Sus scrofa: one gene and its partner. The protein of the gene in region 2 interacts with the protein of the main gene of each other region in a biochemical or structural test. Links are inferred from orthologs where the notes say so. Each region holds a gene or a part of one and is shown on either strand. Other genes may lie near its edges.

Evidence for each region.
Region 1: the proteins of SMARCA5 (region 2) and POLE3 form a complex in vitro, tested with the Homo sapiens proteins (2 studies listed by BioGRID). The link is inferred for Sus scrofa from reciprocal best matches to the Homo sapiens genes SMARCA5 and POLE3.

The regions. Positions count from the first base shown.
Region 1 is NC_010443.5:254,033,388-254,037,780, reverse strand, and holds the start of POLE3 (DNA polymerase epsilon subunit 3), read left to right. Parts: upstream 1-1,556; 5' UTR 1,557-1,876; coding exon 1,877-1,942; intron 1,943-2,042; coding exon 2,043-2,128; intron 2,129-2,487; coding exon 2,488-2,606; intron 2,607-2,876; coding exon 2,877-3,049; 3' UTR 3,050-4,393. UniProt on the Homo sapiens protein: Accessory component of the DNA polymerase epsilon complex. Participates in DNA repair and in chromosomal DNA replication.
Region 2 is NC_010450.4:84,222,061-84,226,424, forward strand, and holds the start of SMARCA5 (SWI/SNF-related matrix-associated actin-dependent regulator of chromatin subfamily A member 5), read right to left. Parts: upstream 2,884-4,364; 5' UTR 2,364-2,883; coding exon 2,187-2,363; intron 1-2,186. UniProt on the Homo sapiens protein: ATPase that possesses intrinsic ATP-dependent nucleosome-remodeling activity.

The DNA of each region.
Region 1 (4,393 bases), on a different chromosome or scaffold from region 2:
TCGGCTCGGATCCTGCGTTGCTGTGGCTCTGGCGTAGGCCGGTGGCTACAGCTCCGATTCAACCCCTAGCCTGGGAACCTCCATATGCCGCGGGAGCGGCCCAAGAAATAGCAACAACAACAACAACAAAAAGACAAAAGACAAAAAAAAAAAAAAAAGAAATGTTTAGACAATCACTACCACCTATCTGCAATAAACTTTTAAGTGTCTATTTCCTCTTTCTTTTACTCAACACATTTATTGACCACCAAATATGGGAAGGGACCTGTTATGGGCATAGAGAACAATAATGACCAAAAAAAGTCCCAGTTCTAAAGAGTTTATAATATAAGCCAAAGATAGCAAACTACTGGCCTGGGATTGCACCTGGCATATAACTTGTTTTGTATGGCCTGCACTTTGAGCCATTATTTAAAGATGGAAATAGCCCATAATGTTCAGATTTCTGGGTTCTCTCAAAGGGGGGTCCAATTCCAACTAGACAGCCACTGGCTGGAGCTGTGTACCTCCTGACATCTTTAAACCATGTGTATTCTAGTCAAGTGGAGCCCTCCCCCACCAAACCCCATATTCTCTAAGAGAAGAGTTTCAGTTGCCATTTATCACTGCATTTGCTGTTGTTTTTCTCATAATAGGGAAATAGTTCTCTGTACTCATGTTTCTATCAAAAACAGGAAAACTAAGCATGACCTGAGGCAGCAGGTTTCAAGGAAAACAACTGTTCAGTGGGAGTGAGGAGAGTTTCTACTACGTAATATGAAAATGATACAACTTAAAAAGCCAATGCAGTATTTCTCTTGTGGCGCAGAGTGTTAAGGGTACCTCCCACCTGAGTCACTGCTGTGGTGCAGGTTCCATCCCTGGCCTGAGAACTTCCATATGCAGTGGTCGCCCCACCGCTCCCTCGGGGGGGGGGGGGGGGACCATTGTAAAACCATGCTGATGCTTTTGACTAGGAAAGATGAACGATGATCAAGTCAATGAACTAAAACATAAATACAAGTTTAACAGGGTTTGTTTTTGAATGCGAATGTTATTCTTAAAACCGGCTGCTTATGGACCTTTTGTTACCTGACCAGCTCGAAGTGAACCCCAAGGTCTAATCATGCCCATCTTTTTGTTGCCAGCCCTACACTGTACTGACAAAGTAGTCTGCATTAAAAATTTTAGGTTAACACTTATCCTTAATACCATTATTACAAAGTTGAGAGCGGTGAAAAGATTTAAGAGGGGATATCAGGGCCTGGAGAGTTCAATAAAGATTCCCTGCTTCCAGAAGAGGGAAGTGGGAGAATCCGGCCAAGGAGGGCCGCGCTTCCGCGGAGCCAAAGCAGAGGCCAAGCGGCTAGGAAGCCGAAGCCTACAAGGAAGACGCTGCTCCTCAACCCGCGGTGAAGACAGCAGCGGGGCCAAGCGCCAGGTCCCGCCTCTCTTCCGAAGGGACCCGCCCCGCCGGCTCAGTCCACGCCTTCGTCTCCCAAGCCAGCCTCCGACAGCACCGTTGCCAGGCAGCGGCGCAGAGCACTATGGGAAAGGGACGGAAGCCCCAGAAGGCCATACTTAATTTGCTAAGCAAGTTCCAGACGAGGTGGTGGCGTGAAGCAGGGAAGCGAGCTTGGGAAGGGGCGCCAGGTGCCGTTGTGGCCTGATAGAAACCCCTAGGGCTAAAACTAGCGGCGTGGAAAGTTCAGATGAACAGACGACTGCAGTCGGAGGCGGGGCTGGGGGAGGAGGGAGGATATGGCGCGCGGGGCACTGTGGGACACGGTGTGGGCAAAACGGGGCGGAACGGAAGCCTCGTTGGGTCAGACGGTGGCGACGCGGGAAGTCCGGACGCTGTAGCGGCCTGAAGAGGAGGCCGGCTCCGGCCGTGGCAATGGCGGAGAGGCCCGAGGACCTAAACCTGCCCAATGCCGTCATCACCAGGATCATCAAGGAGGCGGTGAGCATCTCCGGCTGGCGGATGGGCCAGGGGCGGACGAGCAGGCAAGGGTAAAGAGGTCCTGGGGCAGTAGCTTTGCTCACCCCCTCTCTTGTCACAGCTCCCGGAAGGTGTCAACATCTCCAAGGAGGCCCGGAGCGCCATCTCCCGCGCCGCCAGCGTCTTCGTGTTGTACGCCACATCCTGGTGAGGCGGGCAGAGCTAACCAGAGCTTAGCTGGGGGCTGAGGCTTAAGGGAGACGCAGACACCCCCCCCACCCCTGGTTCGGAGTTCGCGGCCTAGAACCCGCAAACCCCAATAATTATGATCTTCCCCAGTGGAGGGAGGTTCAGAGTCTTCATCCAGGTATTGCAAGCTGTGGAACAAAATAAAACAGAGTAACTTTGCCTTACCCTTTTGTACAGGGAAGGGAGGGACTTACTGTGTCACCAAAATCCATGTATCTTAGACTTGGGCATTTCCATTCCACCTCTGGGTCGTCCTTTTCCCACTCACTGCATACGGGCCAAGAAGGATTCTGACAGCCCTTAATCTTCTTGTTCAGCGCCAACAACTTCGCGATGAAAGGGAAACGCAAGACGCTGAATGCCAGCGATGTTCTCTCAGCCATGGAGGAGATGGAGTTTCAGCGGTTCGTTACTCCCTTAAAAGAAGCTCTGGAAGGTAACGACCTCTTCGTTTACTCAACCAAGTAGATGTTCATCCTGTATGACCTGCTCACTTGGCCCTAAGTCTTCATTAGCTTGAGTCCCTTTAGGTCCAGTAAGCAAGTATTGGGTGAGATTCAAATGGCACTACCTCATATCAGTTTTGTGATGCTGGGCAGGTTATTTTTCCTTCTGTGCCTCAGTGTTTCCAGTTATGCAGTGGTATTAGTGGCTGCAGTCTGTTTGGTTCAGCCTTGTCTCCCAACTCCCTCCTTCATCCTTACAGCTTATAGAAGGGAGCAGAAAGGTAAGAAGGAAGCTTCAGAGCAAAAGAAGAAGGACAAAGACAAAAAAACAGATTCAGAAGAGCAAGACAAGAGCAGGGATGAGGACAACGACGAAGATGAGGAAAGGCTGGAGGAAGAAGAACAGAATGAAGAGGAGGACGTGGACAACTGAAGAGGATGGGGAGACTGGCGCCTTGGAAGGTACAGCTCTGAAACGTTTGTGTGCAGCTTTTTCCTGCTGGACAGAGTAGTCTTGGGCAGAAGAGCCTGAGAAGATGGAAGTAAAAACTGATTAAAATTATCATCAAAACCAGCGTGTCCCAGATTCAGAGCATCTGAGTAGCAGAATCTTGTTTTGCTTCATGAGCCTGAAGGTTATGACTTTTTGGCAGGAGGGATTATGAACAGCCAATTGGTCACTGGGAGCATTTTTGTTTACTTACGTACATAGTTAGGCAGTTGTTGATCCCCAGGTCCCACCCATTCACCCACGGCTCAAAAAAGTAACAAAGCTTCCATGCCACCTACTGCGTTCCAAATCACAGAAGCAGTCAAGACTCAGGAAAACCTGGGGCTTTGCTTATAGACAGCCTATTTGTACAGTATTTGGCAATACTAGCTTCTTACAAGTGATCAGAATGACTTAGCTTTAGGAAACCACTAAAGGGTGTAGAACAGTGAAATCTGTTCTTTTGTCTCTTCACTTGACAGTAACATTAACTGAATTTTGGTTTTTACAGACCCACTTGGCTTAGAGCCCTTCTCTATTGCCAGTAGGCATGTAACCCGCTTGGGTGGCTACCTTCTGGGCACCAAATGCATTTACATCAGCAGTGTAGAGTAGAATTAGTCAAGCAAGATTGCCAATGTGTCTTACAACAGATGGTGTAGTCTTGAATGCACCTCACTGCCTGCCATTGTACAGCTTTAGGGTATGTGGTCACCTCCTGGAAGGTATAAAACTCCAGGCTTTCTCTTGTAGTCCCGCTCCCGGATTTGTGGTATGGCTTTTCATTCTTCTAATTCCTGATGAATTCCAAACTTTCTTTCTTCTAGGTACAACGTTCTTGCTCTGTGCTTCTCTCCTGTCTCTGTTCTGCCTCTCCTCTGCTCCCCATTCCCACTTTCTGTCCCTCCTTTTTTCACTTCTGCCAGGAACTTTGATGACCTGCTTAATATCTCAAACTATGGGTTCCTCTGATTCCCTAGTTCTAATCTCATGTCTTTTAAAAATGATTTTGTAGACCTCTCTGAACGTTAAGGGAAATCCGATGGTGCTCAGGAATCCAATTCCTCCCCCAAGCCATCCCTTCTAAAGTATCTCTGTTAACCTTATTTTCTTTCCATTTGGCGCTTCAAGCACTTTTTGTCTCTAAGTTGAGTGCTTGGAGGTTGACAGGTAGTGAAATATAGTTTGATGCTGTTCATTTGTTAAACGAATCCAGTGAAAAGTTTGTCAAGAAATGAGTGAAGGATATTGAGAAAATTATAATGCCTTGTATAAATAAAAAACATT
Region 2 (4,364 bases):
CCGGATCCTTAACCCACTGAGCAAGGCCAGGGGGATCGAACCTGCAACCTCATGATTCCTAGTCAGATTCGTTTCCACTACGCAATGACGGGAACTCCTAAAATATTTTTTTAAGTTGTGAAACAGATTGTCAGATACGTTACACATGTATGCAGAAATCTAGTTTTTAACCAGTGAACTTCAATGATTTCTAAATTCAGTTAAGGAAAAAGAAGAGACTGAAGGTATTTTTTTTTTTAAGACCCCCCCCCCAAAATGAAAAAAAGAAAAACCACCCTATAATGTAAGGGAAAAAACAAAAACTAAAACTATTCAGTGAAAAGGTGGATAAAACTACTGATATTCCTATACTGAGAAGGTAAAAGATAACTAAATCATTCTTTAATAAATAAAAATTGTCAAACATCTTTTTTTAAGACTATGACAGGGCAAGATACGTGGGGAAATGGTCAGCTTCAGAGCCAGACCTGGGTTCTATCACAGGTTCTACTTACCAGAAGACTCAATTTTCTCATTTGGCAAATAAAAATACCACTGACTTCATATGGTCCTTGTTATATCCTTAATAATCATAGTTAAACTTTTATTCCACTTTAACTTTAAAAATAGCAACTGAAGCCAAAATATTCAGTTTAGGCTTTAAATTATTCTGCTTTCTGATTCTGTAACACCCCTAGTGAGACTGTGCTTGTTATTCCAAAATTTGAATGACAGCCCCCTTTGAGAAGCTGAGAACAGCAAAACATCAATTTGTTCAGAACGGTATATTTACATACAATTGCTTTCAATGTCAGACTTTCAAACCCCCTTAGGCCAGGAAGCAGGAATCCACGTTAACCCTGATAATTCAAAAAACGATTTAAAACCTAAAGAGAAAAATAGGCAACACCAGACAGGAATTTGAAACAAATCTCAAGACACCGAAAACTACAGAATACCAGAAGTCCTATTCTATCGAGGTCCACCTTCACCTAAAAGTTCTTCCAAAAACTAACGTGTTACTTCATCCTAGACTAGACCGCTGGGGCCCAAATAAAACTACTGCGCCAAATGCTTCAATGGTAAACCGCGCTACCATTTCCTTATTGCGTTAATTCTGCAGCAATGTTCATTTTTAAAGCAGTATTACCTTAGCTCAATCTATCTAAGGATGGAAAAGTCCCAGAAATCTCTGGCCTGCGACTATAACATATATCAAAACAGATCGAAAGCCAAGAATAAAATTTGGAAGGAGCAAGCAATCACTTTGTTCCCAGACATCGCAAAGCCTTGGAGCACACCCAAGAGACCCGCCTGGCTGTTCCCCAATCTTTCCACCCCCGCAGTATTGTCACCATCCCCTGGCCGGCCAACCCCAGCCCAGAAGGCAGGCTCCGCGGCAGGGAGGGGTACCAATTCTCAAATACAGGCCAATGCCCTACAGGAGTGCTGGTCTGAAAACCCCCAACCCCCCCCCAACCCCTGACTCACTAAATCATTCATCCTTCCATCCATCACCCCACCCCCAAATTAGATGGGGGTTCCAGACAGCTGCCGCTGCCTTGGTCGCTTCCCTCCCAATGGAACAGCGCCTGGGAGGAGCCTCCTCTCCCTTCACAGGAGCAGCTGCGCCCCGCTTATCCCCACTGCGCCCTCAGCCATCCAGCTCTCGCCATTGTTTCTGCCCAGAACAGATACCGCCCCCGCAAGGACCGGGATGAAGAAAAGGAGGCCCAAATCCTCGGATGCGCTGCTTTTAAATGCCTTCCCCACCCCGTCCGTCTACCCTCGTTCCTAAAGGGAAATCTCCCTCCCCCTCCCCCCAGGTTTAGTGGAAACTAAAATCGAGATTCAGAGATGGGCGAGGGAATTATGGGAGCCTCACTTAAAAAAAAAAGTCGGCAGATCCGTCTCGGCCTCAGTAATCAAGAACATGTGTCTAATAAGAGCGTTTGAGGATTTGGCAAGGTTCGCGAAAGAGACAAATAACGCAAATATGAGGTGCCAGAGACCCAGCTGAGTCTACTTGCATAGGTAAGCAGAAGGGCGCAAGGGAGAGCATCATTTCGGATCATCCAAGGGTCTGAGGCCGAGTTTGGGTGCAGAGGAGTGAAGTTCGGCTTCGCGTTTTATCACCAATACACAGCAGAGGGAACCAGTTCCTCCTCCCTATCCCGCCCTCTCCCCATGCCACAGGCCGTCCTTACCTCCATCTCGGAGTCCGTGGGGCCGGCGCCGGCCGCGGAGGGAGCCGCCGGGACGCCGAAGCCCTCGGGGCCGCCTTTGTTGCTGTTGTTGCTCCCGCTACAGGCGGCGGAGGATGCGGGCTTGGAAGGCGCGCTCTCGGGAGGCGGGGGTGGCGGAGGGTCGGCCGCGGACGACATGATGTTCCGTCTGCGTCACCCGCTGCTGCCAGAGGCCCGGCCCAGCAGGGATGAGGAGGAGGCCTAGGCCTGGGTGGCTACGTCGCAGTGAGCCGATGGAGGAGCGGAAGGACCACCCGAATGCTTCCTCTCCGCAGCTCGGCGACGAGCCCAAGCCAGGCCCAGGAGCCTCCCCCTCTAGCTGTCCTCCTCTTCCTCCCGGCTCTGGGTTCGACCGGCGCTTTACCTCACGGCGGGAATCACGTCGACGAGGGTGGGCGGGGCCACCCGGGTCACTGAGGTCAGAGAAGGCAGGCCGATTTACAGGAGGGCGGAGAGTTGGGGGAAAAAGAAAGGAAAGCAAGAAGGACCAAGACCAGGAACTAGCCTAGCCGCCTCCTCTTCTTCCTCTGGTAGATATCAGGTATCTCGCCAGCATCCAGGTCTACTACCTACGCCACCGACTTTCAACACTCGCGAGATTGATAGTTAGCTAAGAGACCGGGGTTTCAAAGTACGCATGCGCATTCTCTACTCCAAGCTCTTGGCCACGCCCCCTGTGCCCCTACGGGCTCTAGGGCGATGAGTGGGCGGGGCCTCAAAGGAGGGCTCGGAGACGTAAGTTTGTGCGTCGGTTTCCGGGCGTGACGCCACCGCAGTCTTACAGTCGTTCTTAACGGCTCGCTGTGCCGGGTCGCTGTGCTTCCCCAGCTTGGCAGTAATCCCAGCGCTGCTCGAAAAATTGCCCGGGTCTTGCGCCGCCTGCTGCAGCGTAGAGGCTTCTGCAGGCCTCTCTTTTACCGCCTCCGCTTATTGGCGTGACGCCACAGAGTTGACAATGATACGGTTTTCCCAGTTGACGTCTCACTGTTTTGTTGTCTAAGAAGAGTGCCTGTTAGTGTGATTTTTGTTTGTTTTGTCATCCTTATGTTAGCTATATGATTGATCATTTCTAAATTCCTTCTTCGGTAGAGTTAGACGATATTTCCTCTAAGTTTACATGCTAAAAGTAAGCAAACTGCGCCAACCACCATGTGAGAAACAAGAGTAATTAGCAGATAAGAAAGAGAGGTAATAGGTTATATCTTTTCCTCAACCACCAAATATTAAATAAAAACAGACATTCTTCTAAAAAAGTGTTACAAGTAATCACTGGTTTGTACATTGCTTTACGCTATGTTCAACACAGCCTTTTGCATCCACCTACTGCAGAATTTAAGCACATGGTGTTCTATTTGACAGCAAATCTGCATACTGCACTAAATTGTTATTTGCCCTGCATAGGCTCTTACTCATCTTTATATCCCCATATCCAATATTCTATTAGTACGTATTGAATAAAGGAGACAAACTTGTCAAGAGTCAAGGTTTGACCAAACCATTGACTATGCTGAATTACAAACAGAAGGGATTTCCTTTGAATATTTAACCTGCAAACTTTTAACCAATTCAATGATAATTCTTTGAGATCTGGAAGAATGTTCCCCAGCCTATTAGAAATGCCCTGTCTGAGACTCTAGGGAACCCCCAAGGATAGATAAAAAGAAAACTATATAAATGATGATCATCATCGTCTTTATATGTACTTGAGAAATGCTAGCACAATATAGTCCAACATTGAAAGTTTGATTTTAAAACTGTTGTATACCACAAAGTGAATTATTATTAACTTGTAACAACCAGACTGTAGAAAAAAGTTTATTATATAGTAGTAACTAAAAAATTTTAACAGTTCAAAAATATAGATAAAACTTTGGAAGGATAGTCCTAAAATTATTGAAAGTGATTGTTGTTGATGTATATTACCTAATTCATTTTTGTTTCTCTTTTTTTATTTTTCTAAAATGAGTTTGTGTATTATTATTTATTTTATTTTATTTTTTTGCTTTTTAGGGCTGCACCCTGGGTATGTGGAGTTCCCAGGCTAGGGGTCCAATTGGAGCTACAGCTGCCAGCCTACACCATAGCAATGCAGAATCAGAGCCATGTCTGTGACCTACCCAACAGTTCACAGCAAGGCCA